4 linked regions of the Arabidopsis thaliana genome follow. The protein of the gene in region 1 binds, or shares a complex with, the protein of each later gene. Each region holds a gene or a part of one and is shown in the gene's direction. Other genes may lie near its edges. The genes, in order: AT1G29070, RPL24, EMB3136 and RPL9.

What was found.
Region 2: AT1G29070 (region 1) and RPL24 share a complex: the UniProt entries of both Arabidopsis thaliana proteins name them as parts of the 50S ribosomal subunit.
Region 3: AT1G29070 (region 1) and EMB3136 share a complex: the UniProt entries of both Arabidopsis thaliana proteins name them as parts of the 50S ribosomal subunit.
Region 4: AT1G29070 (region 1) and RPL9 share a complex: the UniProt entries of both Arabidopsis thaliana proteins name them as parts of the 50S ribosomal subunit.

What each region holds. Positions count from the first base shown.
Region 1 is NC_003070.9:10,147,925-10,151,967, forward strand, and holds AT1G29070 (Ribosomal protein L34), read left to right. Parts: upstream 1-1,866; 5' UTR 1,867-1,959; coding exon 1,960-2,173; intron 2,174-2,971; coding exon 2,972-3,231; 3' UTR 3,232-3,483; downstream 3,484-4,043. Other genes in the region: AT1G29060 (Target SNARE coiled-coil domain protein), read left to right, coding at 118-241, 679-735, 1,374-1,535. UniProt on the Arabidopsis thaliana protein: This protein binds directly to 23S ribosomal RNA.
Region 2 is NC_003076.8:22,180,870-22,185,156, forward strand, and holds RPL24 (Translation protein SH3-like family protein), read left to right. Parts: upstream 1-1,973; 5' UTR 1,974-2,176; coding exon 2,177-2,290; intron 2,291-2,790; coding exon 2,791-2,829; intron 2,830-3,002; coding exon 3,003-3,233; intron 3,234-3,321; coding exon 3,322-3,534; 3' UTR 3,535-3,741; downstream 3,742-4,287. Other genes in the region: CRLK1 (Protein kinase superfamily protein), read left to right, coding at 153-306, 536-662, 844-929, 1,016-1,087, 1,169-1,372, 1,467-1,829; ANK (ankyrin), read right to left, coding at 3,912-4,287. UniProt on the Arabidopsis thaliana protein: One of two assembly initiator proteins, it binds directly to the 5'-end of the 23S rRNA, where it nucleates assembly of the 50S subunit. Required for optimal plastid performance in terms of photosynthesis and growth.
Region 3 is NC_003076.8:4,339,291-4,342,602, forward strand, and holds EMB3136 (Ribosomal protein L10 family protein), read left to right. Parts: upstream 1-1,971; 5' UTR 1,972-2,003; coding exon 2,004-2,666; 3' UTR 2,667-2,805; downstream 2,806-3,312. Other genes in the region: AT5G13500 (Hyp O-arabinosyltransferase-like protein), read left to right, coding at 28-229, 396-493, 599-668, 798-869, 1,019-1,132, 1,475-1,537; AT5G13520 (peptidase M1 family protein), read right to left, coding at 2,827-3,120. UniProt on the Arabidopsis thaliana protein: This protein binds directly to 23S ribosomal RNA.
Region 4 is NC_003074.8:16,384,349-16,389,227, forward strand, and holds RPL9 (ribosomal protein L9), read left to right. Parts: upstream 1-2,046; 5' UTR 2,047-2,156; coding exon 2,157-2,309; intron 2,310-2,643; coding exon 2,644-2,771; intron 2,772-2,927; coding exon 2,928-2,973; intron 2,974-3,114; coding exon 3,115-3,212; intron 3,213-3,295; coding exon 3,296-3,343; intron 3,344-3,494; coding exon 3,495-3,615; 3' UTR 3,616-3,651; intron 3,652-3,899; 3' UTR 3,900-4,375; downstream 4,376-4,879. Other genes in the region: ACD1 (Pheophorbide a oxygenase family protein with Rieske 2Fe-2S domain-containing protein), read left to right, coding at 227-462, 557-683, 772-908, 992-1,151, 1,224-1,508, 1,602-1,856; CHX4 (cation/H+ exchanger 4), read left to right, coding at 4,376-4,639, 4,730-4,879. UniProt on the Arabidopsis thaliana protein: Binds to the 23S rRNA.

The sequences.
Region 1 (4,043 bases):
TTCTAATATTATCAGTTTCTCCTTTTCTGAAATCGATTCTGGATAGAGAAAACGGGTCCTAGATTTGGTGAATTCTGCGTAAAGTACAAGTATTTATCTTTGGTGTGTGATTTGTAGAGAAGGGCTAAGCACTAGAAATGCTTCAGGTTCAGAGGAAATTCAGCTGAGGATTGATCCTATGCACTCTGACCTGGATGATGAGATTCTAGGTCTCCATGGCCAAGTCAGGCAATTGAAAAATGTAAGAAACCCTCTAAATCCCATTTCGATCTTTCTACTTTTTATCTATAGTGCCATTTGTATTGTCTTCTTGTGGTTCTGAAGGATCATTGTTCTCTTTAAGCTTTAAGTTGATCATATGAATTTGGAAATTTGTCTTCTTTTCGGTTTTGACAGTGGTTAGAGCTTGGTTAATTAGTTGTGTAGGTGTTTTTTTGTTCAGGGTACTATGATAATGTTATTGTTCACAATACTTATCAGTCAGTCCACGATTAATTAGTTGAATCCACTTGTCTGATGTCTTTTGTATACATCTGTGGTTATTGTTTTATATCACCACCCTTCTTGAAGGAATCAGTCGACATTCTCTACAATTCCTTGTGTTTTACCTTGCACTTTTGCGCATTATTTATCCCTCATGATTTTTTGTTATATCGTTGATCGCTTATTTTGATGCAGATTGCTCAAGAAATTGGGTCAGAAGCAAAGTCTCAGAGGGACTTCTTAGATGAACTGGTATGTTGTTGATGTCCCTTTAGTTTTTTCTTTATCCATCATAGTAAATTGCAATGTAAGCACTTAACATCAGTAACATGCATTCATTTACTCTTCTTTACCTTTAAGATGAATCACTGATTATATATAGTATATCCGAATATCGGTTTCCTATAACTTGTTTCAGATGTCTCTGTTCATTATTAGTTGGGAAAATATAGTTTCATCCTAACATATGTTAGATAACTTTAACCGTAGCTTACAAAACCAATGAATCTTGATAAATCCAAAGTGTAGATTATGTTTACTTAGGATCTGGTCTGAACGCTGGTGGTGGGTAGGATTAGATATCTTCAATCTCACCTAGTTTGGTGAAATGCAGCAGGAAATGGTTACAGCTTATCATTGAGTTCCTGCCACTTTGTCAATGAGAATGTTGGTGTTGAATGTGTTCATTGCTTTTAGTTCGTTCTAGTTTTTTCTTTTGTTACCTAGAAGAACATCCTAGAGAAGATAATGACAAACAACTAGATTTGGTAGTGAGACTGCAGAAACAAGCATTTAGTGCTGTTATAAGCAAAATAAAATAAGTAGACGAAATGTTGTTCTTGTCTGAAACATAAAACGCTTCAATGGTATTTTGTTTTTGTTTGTGACAGCAAATGACATTGATCAGAGCGCAAGCAGGGGTGAAGAACAACATAAGGAAACTGAACCTAAGCATAATCCGTAGTGGTAACAACCACATAATGCACGTAGTTCTTTTCGCGCTCCTCCTCTTCTTTATCCTCTACATGTGGTCCAAGATGTTCAAAAGATAGATAGAGAGACTCATGGCATACTTGTGTTACCCCCCAAAAAAAAACCCTTGATGAATGTTGGATAAGTTGTAGAAAATATCCTCTAGATTACAAACATTTTGTGGTTCTTCTCGTTACCTGTTATATAGAGTGCCTGTTTTTAACAGTTTACATGAAGCAAAATTGTATCACAGAACAACAGCATGAGATATTTTAGACCAGTTCAAATCTGGCCTTAACTTGATTAATTACCCGTCCGGTCCAATTCAGTATTGGGCTTTTATAGTCTTATGGGCTGAAGTGTCGTGATACGTGTATTATTATGGTTGGTTCTTATGCGTAAGTTTATGGTGGTATCGTCCGTAGACGATAGAGGTTCCACACTATGTAAAGGAGACCGGAGAAACAAAGGAACTGGGTTTGGAGATAAGAAGTGGGAACTTGAATGGCTTCCTTATCCACTTCCGTTGTAGCTTCGGCTTCGTCGCGTTTATGGAATCCTGCTGCCTCCAACGGCAAGATTTGCGTTCCTTCTGCTTCGCTTTCTCTGCGTACGGGTTGTAGACGGAGTTCGTCCTCTCTCACTTCTTCCGCTTCTTCGCAATTGCTTCATTGCTCGTTTCTCTCGTCGCCTGTTTCCCTAGCGTCTCCATTTTCTGGTACATCTTAAATTGGTTCGAATTATTGTTTGTGTTTAGCTTCTGGTGATGTAATGTATCAAGTTCTTTTACCCAATTTTGATTTTTTTTTCTGGTTCTTTGGGTTTGGTTGATTTATCACTATTCTCGTGTGTTAGGCTCTAGCTTACTTTGCAAACACATATATTCGAAGCTTTTTTAGAAGAATTTGGGAATTGTGAAACATAGTTGTCAATGGTGAATTCGATTTGGGAGTGTGAGTGAAAGAAGCCATTTTGTTTGTTTCTGATATTTCTTGTTAAGTTTATAACAACAAGTGAAGATAACATTTTGCAACTTAAGCCTCAATTTCTGATATCTTAGCTCATGTATTTGTAGCCGCAAGTAAATGTTGTTTGATTTTTAGTACAAAAATCTTTTAGCTCATGTCGATTATTTAGGTACAATGGTTATAGATTTGCTTCAATATGTCACATGAACTTGTTCCTCCTCCTTTGATCATAATTTTCTTGTAAAGTATATTGTACGACCATTGTAGCTAGGCTAAGATTTGAGCAGTGAATTATAAGCTTTGCCAATTTAGCAACAGACGTTATGGTTATAGCTCAAGAGTTAAAAGGGTAACCTAGGAGAATGCATTAAAGTCATTTTGGATTTGTCTGGGTCTTGATTCTGAGCAGTGTGTTGAGAGTTTGGTATTGTATGGTGAGTTCTTTGGGTAATTAAAGGAAGGAGTTTACCGGTTCCAATATTATCAGCTTGATACACTATCAAACCTATAATGTCACATTGATCAAAATGGTGTTGCTGTCTTTTCAGGTTTGTCCATTGCGTTTGATCTCAGCAGTCAAACTAGTGGACTGAATGGCCAGAGACGCAGAGGCCTTGTGGTTAGAGCTGGAAAAGCTGCTCTGTGTCAAACTAAGAGAAGCAGATCAAGAAAATCTCTAGCTAGGACTCATGGTTTCCGTAGAAGGATGAGGACCACTAGCGGTAGAGCAACCATAAAGCGTCGACGTGCCAAGGGACGTTGGAACCTCTGTCCCAAGTCCAACCCTAGCAGCGGCAAACGGGCTTGAAGTTTGTTTCTCTCTTCACTCTATCTGTAATCTTGTTTCATGTGCTTTTTTTCCACCAGAAGATACAATGAGAAACATGGTTCGTTGAGCTCTTTTCTGCGTTTTAACTCTCTTGCATCCTTGATTCGTTTATAAATCAATGTTCTTGGAATTCATCACATGTACTACTATACTACTTGCTTCATTGAATTTGTTACTACTCGAAGTCTCAACTTCAAAGCCATAATTACTTAAAGATCTCTTCTGGCCACCAGGATAATTCTGGTGTGTAAGAATTGTTCAGATTCCAAGTAGTGTTAATGGTTGCTGAAAGTTGATGTATATAGTTTGGGGTTCAATCCCTGAAGGATTTTACTTTCATTTACTAGTTTTATTTCAACCTAACAATTACTTTTAAGTACTAACCCTAAATTATATTCCCCTTAAAAAGAAAACTGCACCAAAAACAAACTAGTTAAGAAAAATGAAACCAAAACTAAAAAAGAAAAGTTCCTTCTTATTGGAAATTAGGGAGGGATCAGATTGTGTAAAAAAGAGAGCGCCCAATAGTCGTAACAGGCTTTGGGCGGAACGCTCTTCTCGCAATATAAGCGAGTTTTTACCATTCATCATATCCCCTTTAACTTGCCTGAAGGATCATGCCTTTTACGTAATTAGCTCTTTCTTTTTTATAGGCATGTTACTACCATCACTATCTCTACCTAAACGATGTGGGACAAAATAAACTATTCTCTTGTTTGAAATAAGGTTTCTTATCTCAAATTCATATATCTTTGTTTTTTAAAGTGGGTCTATAAAAGGCCTCTGTAGCT
Region 2 (4,287 bases), on another chromosome or scaffold:
CTAGACTTCTCTTGTTATAGTAGTTACTTTGGTTATTATTTCAAAGTTTGAAAGTTCATTAAAAAGGGGAATGCTGTTGTGGATATGAGAAGGTCTTGCATTCTTGGGGTTATATTCCGTTTTTGACATATGGTCTTTGGTGATTGCTTCAGGGATTTGCAGAAAGCGACGTGTAATTTCACGACTTTGATAGGCCAAGGAGCATTTGGACCTGTCTACAAAGCTCAAATGTCTACTGGTGAGATCGTGGCTGTGAAAGTTCTAGCCACTGATTCTAAACAGGGCGAAAAAGAGTTTCAGACAGAGGTAAGATATATCTATGGATTCATTTCCGAAGAACAAGTTAGTGTGTAAAACATGTAGCATTAGGCAGACTTTTAAGCATTACAATAGGCTTTCTGAAATCTCTAATACTCAATTTATTAGTTGTGTCATCTATAAGACAGGCTACATGAATGAACAATCTATATATCTTACTCTCTTAGTATCTGCTTAGTTTCTTGAAAAACTCATCCACTCGCCTTAATCTTTTCAGGTTATGTTATTGGGAAGGTTGCATCACCGTAACCTAGTGAACTTGATTGGATACTGTGCAGAGAAAGGCCAACACATGCTTATATATGTTTACATGAGTAAAGGAAGCTTAGCTTCTCATTTATACAGTAAGTAACTACCTGGTTATACATACCATATTAATCTGCTTGTCACTAAATGAACTGTTAATGCAATGTTGAGCTATTCGGTATCTTTGTAGAACATTTATTGAGTTGATGGTTTAGACTTCACTAAATGATGAGCCTTGGTAAAGATTTGAGATGCACTAAAATGGTACTTTTGATACAGGCGAAAAACATGAACCGCTGAGCTGGGATTTGAGAGTATATATTGCTTTAGACGTGGCACGTGGTCTAGAGTATCTTCATGATGGGGTAAGCTGCTTGCTAAAACCATTCACCATTTTAATGCATCTCTTAAACAACAACTTCAAAACTCATGTTCTAATCAATTGTTCCAGGCTGTTCCTCCTGTAATCCACAGAGATATCAAATCTTCCAACATCTTGCTGGATCAATCTATGAGAGCTCGGGTAAACATATCTTCTTTCTCTTTGAAATCTCAGTCTATTGAACCACCTCAAGTTTCTAATGGTGATCTTCTTTAACTTCAGGTTGCTGACTTTGGCCTCTCCAGAGAAGAAATGGTAGACAAACATGCAGCTAACATCAGAGGAACATTTGGCTACCTCGATCCCGAATACATTTCAACAAGAACATTCACCAAGAAAAGCGATGTCTATGGCTTCGGAGTTTTGCTTTTCGAGCTTATAGCAGGAAGAAATCCTCAACAAGGTCTAATGGAATTGGTTGAGCTGGTAACATAAAACTAAAAAGTCCTCGAAATCTCCAATTGTTTTGTTTGGAGAATTGCATGTAAAGACTAAACGTTTTGTTGTTGTTGATGAACAGGCGGCTATGAATGCAGAGGAAAAAGTCGGATGGGAAGAGATAGTAGATTCAAGATTAGATGGGAGATATGATTTACAAGAAGTGAATGAAGTAGCAGCTTTTGCTTACAAATGCATCTCTCGTGCACCTAGAAAACGTCCTAACATGAGGGACATTGTTCAGGTTTTGACTCGTGTTATTAAAGTGAGACATTGCAGAAAGCGGCAGAAGAATTCTCCGTCGCCGTCTCCACGGCTTCCTCCTCCTCCTCCGATAGTGGAGGAGTCAGAAGGTGAGTTAACTGCAAACGGATCATTACGATCAGAAATTCATCGGAGGGATAATTCCTTGGACAGTAGTATAGCTGAAGACGTGATTTTGTAAACAAAATGAAAAAAAAGTCTCAATTTTTTTAATTATTATTAACTTTTAAAATGTGATTTTGTTTTTCAATTCTTTTGGGTTTTTAGACGCTAGATTGTCTATATTTGTGAATGAAAATTTGTTCTTTGTTTTTTCGTGTTAAAACGAGTTCAAAACTGGAGAACCATATTATATATTTGGGCTATGAAAAGAATTGAATTCAAGGCCCAATTAAAACCTAGCCTAGCCCATTAAGGTTTAGTGATAATACAGTGTCGTTTAATCGTTTATCCAATTTTTATCGTCATCTGTGGAACGGATAGGACGAAGGAAAAAGAAGAAGAGTGAAAGTTGCAGAGCGAGAAAAAATGGCAACCATGTCTGCTCTTCAGAGCTCTTTTACTTCTCTTTCTCTATCTCCCAGCTCTTCCTTCCTCGGCCAGCGTTTAATTTCCCCGATTTCCCTCTCCGTCACTTCTCCGGTAACTTTAATTTTCGATTTCTGGTCAATTCAGGTTTTTAATCATTGTTCAAGCTTTTAGGTTATGTAGTTCACTTGTTTGCGTAATAGATTAGGTTCATGTCTTCGCTTTTCATATCCAAACCCATTTCATCAAGTAACTCTCAAATTGAATCTGTGTTGTTGCTCATTTTAAGTTTGAATTTTGCTTACTGGGATATAAAATTTTGTGCATTGTCTATGTTTAAGTGTAACTACTGAATTGAGATGAAAGTTATGAGGACTTAAAACGTCATCCTTTAGACTGATTGACTAGTTATTGGTTTGGAATCAATGGACTAGTACTTGTAAATGCTATACTTTTTAAACGAACGAAAATGTGCGTGTGATGGCTCACATTGAGTAAAGTGGCTATCTTGTTCATTTGGTTGTGATTTTTTGCATTTTCTTATGAAATGCAAAATAGCTGCAATAGGATATGGTTTCTTTGTTACTCTGCTGATTATTTTATACTCATTGCAGGTCAAGCCCGCTGAGAACCCATGTCTTGTTCTTGCAAAGGTTAGTCCACAGATCCATTACATTAACATTCTGCATTATTCGTTAATATACTAGCTTTGAAACCACAATAATTCTTTAGATTTTGTACACATCAAAAGCAAAAAGGAAAACTGTTGATAGATTCTTTTGAAACAATGAGATTGGAAGATGATTTATGTGTTTTGCGTTTTCAGCTCAAGCGTTGGGAACGAAAAGAATGCAAACCAAACAGTCTTCCGATTCTCCACAAAATGCATGTCAAGTTTGGAGATACAGTCAAAGTAATATCTGGACGCGACAAGGGTAAAATCGGAGAGGTTACTAAGATTTTCACTCACAACAGTACCATTGTGATCAAAGATGTGAACCTCAAAACAAAACACATGAAGAGCCGAGAAGAGGGAGAGCCTGGTCAAATTGTCAAGGTCAGAAATCATAGTTTTGTAGCTTTCCTTTACTTTGCAAGATTGGAGTGATGATTGAAGATTGTGCGAAATGTATTATGCTTTCCAGATAGAAGCACCTATCCACAGCTCAAATGTGATGTTGTATTCAAAAGAAAAAGACGTAGTAAGCCGGGTGGGTCACAAGGTACTTGAAGATGGACAGAAGGTAAGATATCTGATCAAAACAGGGGAACTCATCGACACCATTGAGAAGTGGAAGCTACTTAAGGAGGCTAAGGATAAGGAAACCACCCAAGTTGCAGTTACCTCCGCATCTTAGCGTCTCATTTCTTTCTTCTTCAGTGCACTTTTGATATAATAGACCTATGCATTGGATGGATGTATTGAATCCCTTTTAAGGTAAATTATAATATTTCTGCTCCCCTCATGAACACCTCTTAGCATGATTTAACATATTAATCGAACTAAAGCCGGGTACTCTTGAGTCTTGTCTATATCAATATTGATCGTTATTGACAATGTTAGACCGGCCTATCAAATAAACTGAACCAAAAACTAAACATATTAATGACTCCGCCATAACCTTAAGCACCTACAGTAATTTATTCAAAAGATACAATCTTTAAAATGAGTGCACGTTACAAAGTTAAAGCAAACAAAGTTTCGAGGGAACAAAGTGCAAACGCTTCAAAATGGTTAAACCATGTTCTTGAAGTTGTCAGAAATCAGGTCGCTTTTGGGTTTGCGTACCTTCATCTGCGTACACCGTTTCCACTTTACATATAATACCAGTAGATACACGAGGAATAAGCCCCCTTCATATATGATGAGGAAGAAGAATGAGAGACCATGCATCATGTACATCAAAAGGAAATAAGAGAAGACGAGGGGCACCGTAATAATGAAATACCACCACTCATATGCTCTGCCAACTGGTAAGAGAATAAATGAAAATAGGATAGCTATGGAAAACGCTACCGTATTGCATCCCCATAGTTGGAATTCCGAAAACCTCATACCATTCTTTTTAACTTTATCTAGTTTTTCTTTGTCTAGCAGTTGGGCTGCAGTC
Region 3 (3,312 bases), on another chromosome or scaffold:
ATCTCCTGCATCTTACTGTTGGTGCAGCTATGTGCTCATGGCAGAGCCTGATCATGTATTTGTTAATCCCCTTCCCAATTTGGCTGTTGGAGGATTCCCAGCCGCTTTTCCGTTTTTCTATATTACTCCTGAAAAGTATGAAAACATAGTCAGAAAGTATTATCCAGCGGAGATGGGGCCAGTAACAAATATCGACCCCATTGGCAACTCTCCTGTTATCATAAGCAAGGTGAGATTATCTGTGCTATACTGTTTGTATATGTGTTATTTGACTTGGGCCCCAAAGATTTTCAGAGGCGTTTAGCTAGATGTGATGTTGGTGTCCAGGAATATGTTCTGTTTGTTCTGTTCATGCATTAAAATTGATGTTGACATGCATTTACTTTCTGATGCAGGAATCACTTGAAAAGATTGCTCCTACATGGATGAATGTCTCGCTGACAATGAAAAACGATCCAGAAACTGATAAGGCATTTGGATGGGTGCTGGAAATGTTAGCACAAGAAACAAGAATCTTAAATCATGAATTGGCTCTCCACCTTTTGAATCCCATCATTGTTAACTGACTACTTTATTCTTCTCTTTTCTGTTTGATAAGGTACGGTTACGCAATTGCATCTGCTATACATGGGGTGCGTCACATACTTCGGAAGGATTTCATGCTTCAGGTAAGAATCGACCTTGTGCTGATACCTTAGTGATAACATATTCTATGTCGAAGATACTTTTGTTTTGTCAAAGTTACAAAAGTTGTTTCTCTGCTCCATATTCCTAAGTTCTCTCACAATATCTTTCAGCCTCCGTGGGATTTGTCTACCAAGGGGAAGTTTATCATTCATTACACTTATGGATGCGACTACAACATGAAGGTGATTTTCTGTTTGACACGATTGTTTAATTTTAATTTTTGGCTGATAAATTAGGAACAGATTTCACATCTTGTGGTCATTTGTTTTTACTTAAGGTCATTAGGTTCTCTTTTTAGTCACTACTAAGTTTTGCTGACTGTTAAATACAGGGGGAGCTGACATATGGCAAAATAGGAGAGTGGCGATTCGATAAGAGATCACATTTGCGGGGTCCTCCTCCAAGGAACATGTCCTTGCCGCCTCCCGGTGTTCCCGAAAGTGTGGTATGTTATATATAAACCTCTATAATCTGATCGTGCTTAAAACAAGATACTGCAGTAAGGTCCATTCATAGCTCAAAGGGGAACTTATTTGTATCATGTCCATTGGTTTAGTGGATTCCGGAGACTAAATAGCAACGTCATACACAAATGGTCGTCCATAGTTTGATGTAGTTTGTGAATTTGCAATGGTTTTACTTTCCGGGGAGATGATATGCATAAGTCTGTTAGAAGTAGTTGTAATATCTTCAGGAGTTACGGTTTTGCTTGTGGTCAATCAAGTGTGAGAGTGAGAACCGTAATATTGAATGACTGTCCTTAATAACATATTGTGTGATGGTGCAGGTGACACTTGTGAAGATGGTGAATGAAGCTACTGCGACTATCCCTAATTGGGACACTCTCTAACTCACATCCACACACAAAACACAAACCATAGGGACAAATCCATACAGCAACAATATTTTGCCTAATTTTTTTTTCCTTCTCCCTTTACTTCCCTTCTTGTCTGTTTTTTCTTGTAATGGTTAAATTATGAACTTGAGTAGTAAATTACAAAATTATTTGTTTGACACGAGACGAGACATCTTCCATAATTCCGAGAAAGAAAATAGAATTATTTTGGGTCTAGTTATTTGATTAGTTTACCAATGGATTGCGTTCAGAATTCAGAAGCAGAGACTAAAAGACACAATGCGTTAAATTAGACGGAGTTACTAATTCCGTCTATTAACCCTTTTTTTATCCATAAATTTTATTTTCCATTTAAGAAAAATAAAAAAATAAAATTGCTTAGTGGAGGATTGTGTTGTTGTTCATCTATCTTCTTCCTCCACACAGCTAGAAACAGTCTCCTCATCTTCTGAGCAAAAAAATGGAAGTGGCTCTTCTCTCCTTCTCTTCTTCCTTGTCTCCTCTCTGTCACCAGCGAATCTCAACTCTCACACCCAAAACCTCGAATTCCCCAAATTACCCTCGCCTCCCGGTCATCAGATCCGCGGTGTCTCGTAACAAGAAGGAAGAGACTGTCGAAGCCGTCAAGTCTCACTTGGAGAACTGCCATCTCCTCGCCGCCATCAACTACAAAGGCCTCACCGTCAAGCAGTTTCAAGACCTCCGGAGAACTCTCCCCGACACTACAAAGCTCATCGTCGCCAAGAACACTTTGGTCTTCAAAGCCATTGAAGGCACCAAATGGGAAGCTCTCAAGCCTTGTATGAAAGGCATGAACGCTTGGCTTTTCGTCCAGACCGATGAAATCCCTTCTGCTATCAAACCCTACCGGAGCTTCCAGAAGGAACGCAAGCTTGAAAACAATGACTTTGCCGGCGCTGTCTTCGAAGGTAAGTTCTACGCTCCTGACAATTTCAAAGTCCTCGAGACCATGCCCACTCGTGCTGAGGTCTACGCTAAGATGCTCGGTGCTCTGCAATCTCCGGCTATTAATCTCGTCACTACTTTACAAGCACCAGCAAGAGAGGTTATAATGGTGCTTATGGCTTACATTAAGAAGTTGGAAGATGAGAGTAATGCATAGTTAAGCTTGTACTAATCTTTTGGAGAATGTAATGTACGCAACAAAAGGCAATTCAATTTTTTGTTTATGACTCTCTCAAGCACCAATTGTTATTACAGTGACTGAGTTTTATTGAAATGTTGTTTTTCGGAGTGCTCTCAAGCTATCATAACGGTCTTGTTTAGATGTACTTAGAGAGGATAGATTCAACAACTCCCTGAGCTATGGGGTGATAAGTTTCTCGAGCTTCTGCAAACACCTGTTTTGCCAGCTGCTTCTCTTCTGTTCCACCAGATTGTGCAAGAGCAGTGAAGAGTGGACGCAGGTACTTCATCCTTCCTACCTCTTTTAGTGTTTTCTTCACTTCCCCATGGTACTCTCTGCACTTGGATGTGACTGCAAGTTGCAGAAACGAGACCTTCACTTCATAGTCTTTCGATTCTGCCAGTCTGTACCGCTTGTCCAAGGCCATGACCTGATTCATCAATGAGCAAAGTGGGTGTTAGCCATAGGTTTGAACCTGATCACCAATCCTTCCTTTGTTGACTAGCATTGTCATTAACAAACAAGATAAGATCCTAACTCTTGCAAAGCCAATACACTTTCCACAATCATGAACTCTCCCAAAGCCAAGAGGGTTTTTCCACAATCATTATTCACTAGCCCC
Region 4 (4,879 bases), on another chromosome or scaffold:
TTGTAGATGATTGTTTATTGTAAAGTTTTGATTTTTAAAGTATATCAATTAGGTTAAAAGCTTCAAAGAATAAAATATTAGGGTCAGAATCAGAACAGTTTTGTGTTGTTGTTATTGTTATGACTTATGAGCAAAAAGAAGTAAACTTTGTTGTGTATGTAACCAAAGTTTTGAGCTTGACTCATTGATGTGTTTGTGTATGTGTTGATGCATTGTGGTTATGTAGGAAGGAAGGTTGGATGAGAATGGACACTTGCAATGTTCGTATCATGGATGGTCATTTGGTGGGTGTGGATCTTGCACTAGGATTCCTCAGGCTGCTACTTCAGGTCCTGAAGCTCGTGCTGTTAAATCCCCGAGAGCTTGTGCTATTAAGTTCCCGACAATGGTGTCTCAAGGTCTTCTCTTTGTGTGGCCTGATGAAAATGGTTGGGATAGAGCCAATTCAATTGAACCCCCTAGGTAACGAAAATGATTATCTTCTCAGGCTTCCATGAACATAGCATACTCGTTTTATTACTCGTTTTATTAAATGCGTTGATCTTTAACATAAAAGGTTGCCGGATGATTTCGATAAACCGGAATTTTCGACGGTGACAATTCAAAGGGATCTTTTCTATGGATATGATACTCTCATGGAAAATGTATCTGATCCTTCCCATATAGATTTTGCTCATCACAAGGTGTTGTTTTCTTTCTCAAAGCTCCCAATGTGTTTGCATTTCCACTAAGGGATATTATCCTCAGGCGATGATTACGTGTTGTAAACAGGTTACAGGAAGAAGAGACAGAGCCAAACCATTGCCGTTCAAGGTGGAGTCAAGTGGGCCTTGGGGTTTCCAAGGTGCGAATGATGACAGTCCAAGGATAACCGCAAAATTTGTTGCTCCGTGCTATTCTATGAACAAGTGAGTGTTGAGTTTGCTCACTATACATAATAAATGGTTAGCATACAGTTGCATAGAATGAAATTGTGTATCCTTGTCTACAGAATTGAGTTAGATGCGAAACTACCAATCGTCGGTAATCAAAAATGGGTCATTTGGATTTGCTCATTCAATATACCAATGGCTCCAGGAAAGACCCGTTCCATCGTTTGCAGCGCCCGTAACTTCTTTCAGTTCTCTGTACCAGGACCAGCTTGGTGGCAGGTAAAACAAACTTTGATTCCATCTCTAATCCGATTTTACTACGTAAATTCTTCTGAAGCTGTTCCTTGTTAGGTTGTACCAAGATGGTATGAACACTGGACTTCGAACTTAGTCTATGACGGAGACATGATCGTACTTCAAGGACAAGAGAAAGTATTCCTCGCTAAATCAATGGAGTCACCAGACTACGACGTGAACAAACAGTACACAAAGCTCACATTCACTCCAACCCAGGCAGACCGTTTTGTTCTAGCATTCAGAAACTGGCTCAGACGGCATGGTAAGAGTCAGCCTGAATGGTTCGGCTCCACCCCGTCTAACCAACCTCTCCCTTCCACTGTCTTAACCAAGCGTCAGGTGAGCCATCAATCATGCATCCTAACATCATTTGATTGATCTCTATATATATACAAACACATGTCTGAAAACGTGACAAATTTGAACAAACAGATGCTAGATAGATTTGATCAGCATACACAAGTATGCTCTTCCTGCAAAGGAGCTTACAACAGTTTCCAAATCCTCAAGAAGTTTCTCGTTGGCGCGACGGTTTTCTGGGCCGCCACGGCTGGTGTTCCTTCTGATGTTCAGATTCGACTGGTTCTTGCTGGTTTATCACTGATATCAGCTGCTTCTGCATATGCTTTACATGAACAAGAGAAGAACTTTGTGTTTAGAGATTATGTACATTCTGAAATCGAGTAGATTTGTTGTGTATATGTATAATCATCATACAAAGTACAAACATTGTAAATCAAAATCCAGAGGAACTTTTAGCACTATAAAACCGATTTAACCGTTAAATTTTGGGTACTCAATTGAACTTTATAAAACTTTTAAGTAAGAAAACAGAAAAGTAGAATAATTACGGGGTCAAATTCGAAACATAAGAAAAACATTCGTCACTTCACTTGAGCAAGCACACGAAAAGCCGATAAGAAGATAACAATTACTACAACTGTGCGCTCTTGTTATCTCTGCTTTGAAGTGAAATCAGCTTTGGCTATGGCTTCTTCGACAGCTTTGTCTCTCTCATGGAGCTCCTCTCCTTGTTGGTCACACAGCTTCAATGGCGGTGCAAATGAAACCCTAAAAGTATCTGAGCGAAGGTTCAATTTTGAAGTTGTTTCCCAGAAGAAAGCTAAGAAACTTCGCAAGGTAAAAGTCATTACCTTTCATGGGTTTCCTTCAAAAATTTGATTTGGCTTTTAGTTAGTTTTTGATTTGAGCTTGTGTTTCTGAAGAATTTTGGTGGAGATGAAAGTAAAAGACTTGAAGATGCTTAATTTATGGGTTTAGTGTAAAAACATCGTCTTTGTTCTTGTATCAGCGTAGTTAGGAAGAAAGATGAATCAACATTAGAAAAGTAGACGCCTTTATATTACCAGTTTAGTTTCAAGTAGTGAAGATAAATTGGTTTGAAGCTTTGTTTCTGTGTAGAGAAATGGAGTAAGTGAAACACTAATGGTAAATCTTGTTTTGTGTCTTTAAGGTAATTTTGAAAGAGGATGTGACGGATTTGGGTAAGCAAGGGCAATTACTTGATGTGAAAGCTGGATTTTTCAGAAACTTCCTCTTGCCTACTGGAAAGGCTCAGCTTATGACTCCACTTCTGCTCAAGTAATTCACCTCAACTTCGAAATTTCCGTTCGCTTTTGTATGCTCTTACTATTCGGTTCTAAGGCCTTTGTATTTCGAGGGACTTTGCTACAATGTTGTAAGATCAACAAGAAAAACATCATTTTCTTTCTTTTTGTGTGTGTGTTTTTCCCCCAGGGAATTGAAGATGGAAGACGAACGGATTGAGGCAGAGAAGCAAAGGGTAATCTGATATGAATACATTGATTGTTTTTATTTGATCATCATGTAAAGTTTTGGTGTTTGAGTGATCACCAAAAAACTCTTTGGTTATTGATTTTCATCTGTTTGTTGGTTTTTTCTTTGCGTGGAACCTTTTTTGCAGGTGAAAGAAGAGGCACAACAACTGGCGATGGTATTCCAAACCGTTGGTGCTTTCAAGGTTAAACGCAAAGGCGGTAAAGGCAAACTGATATTTGGATCGTAAGTCCTACTTAAGCAAATCTAGATTTTAACAGTCTTGAGAATAGTGTTTAGCCTGTACTTAACTTTATATTTTCCTGCAGTGTCACAGCTCAAGACCTCGTCGACATCATCAAATCACAGCTCCAAAAGTAACAACATAGAAAATTTTACATTTCCACATAAAAAGCTACAAGCTTTCTCATGTGGGCGGTTTAGTTGGATCAGTCTACATTTGGTTTTTAGTGTTGTTCGAAGAACCTAATATGGTTTTATCTGCTTCTCTGTGGCTGTGTTTTGCAGGGACATCGACAAACGCCTTGTCTCTCTCCCAGAAATCCGTGAAACCGGAGAATACATAGCCGAACTCAAGCTTCACCCCGATGTCACTGCTCGAGTTAAGATCAATGTTTTCGCTAACTAAACCTTCAACGATTCAAGACTCCTACTGCATCCCAAGGTATTTCTTGATTTTCCATGATCATGTGGCTTTTAACCATAAATGAAACTAAGTATTAGTTTTGTCTTAGTTCGTGTCTTAATTGGCATGAAATAAGTAGTTAAACCGATGTTCTGAACTCTGAACATCGGCATATAAACATTGGTCGGGAATATTGGCTGTTGAACGGAGTTTTGCGTTTTAAGGTCTAGCCGCAAACGCAGATGCTAATTGTCCATCGCACTGTGTTTGGTGTTTTGAACTTGCAGGAACGTATAGAGAGGGAAAAGAGAGTAGCCTCTTGTGGTGAGGATTGAAGGTTGTGAAGTTTTTCCTTTAGATTGTTTGATGCATTTGTATTTTTGCTATTTTTGGAATCTGGAAACGCTAAAAGTATAATATTCTCTTGCAAGTTATGATATTTACTTGAAGTTATATTGTATTCATTTGTCTGTTGAAGTGATGAGAATGCTTAAATTAACACTAACAAGCTGTTTAAAAAACTAACAAATAACCAGAAATCTGAAAAACTATGTCGCCGTCTCTTGTTCCCACAAGATTGACTATTTTTAGAGAGTTGTTGTTTAATGACAAAACCCAGATGTTTTTTTGTTTCACTGCTTCTCTTCAATTCTGTTACCAAAACCTTTTTTGTTTAAGACAGTTATAGCTCTTGATTCGGTTTTTATAATCATATGATTCTCTTGTTTCTATCATCTTTGTTCTTGTTAACAAGTTTTGTCCAATGGAGTTTAATGGTGATAGGATCCCTTACCTGAGAGATACATGGAGAGATGCAAACATGATCTGCGGTATCTTGCCTATTAACCCGAGCTCGAGCGGGCTATGGCCCTCCCCGAAGCTCCCAGATCCTCAAGCAAACATTGAGTTCTGGAATTACATGTTTCCACATGTTCAGATCATTTTCCTTATCGTCACTATTCTCTGGCAATTCTTCCATTTCTTCCTCAGACGTCTCGGCATGATTCGTTTCACCTCCCATATGCTTGTAAGAACTTTACTCAATTCTTGAATCTTCAAATCTCTCTTCCTCTTTGTTTGCATTGCTTATGTTTGATATTCTGTGTGGTTTTGCCAGACTGGGATTCTCTTGAGCAAGTCGTTTCTTAAGGAGAATACACCGGCTAGGAAATTCCTCTCGACGGAAGACTATAAAGAGACTCTGTTTGGTTTAGTGGGTGCATGTTCCTACATGATGTTTTGGTTCTTGATGGGAGTTAAAATGGAC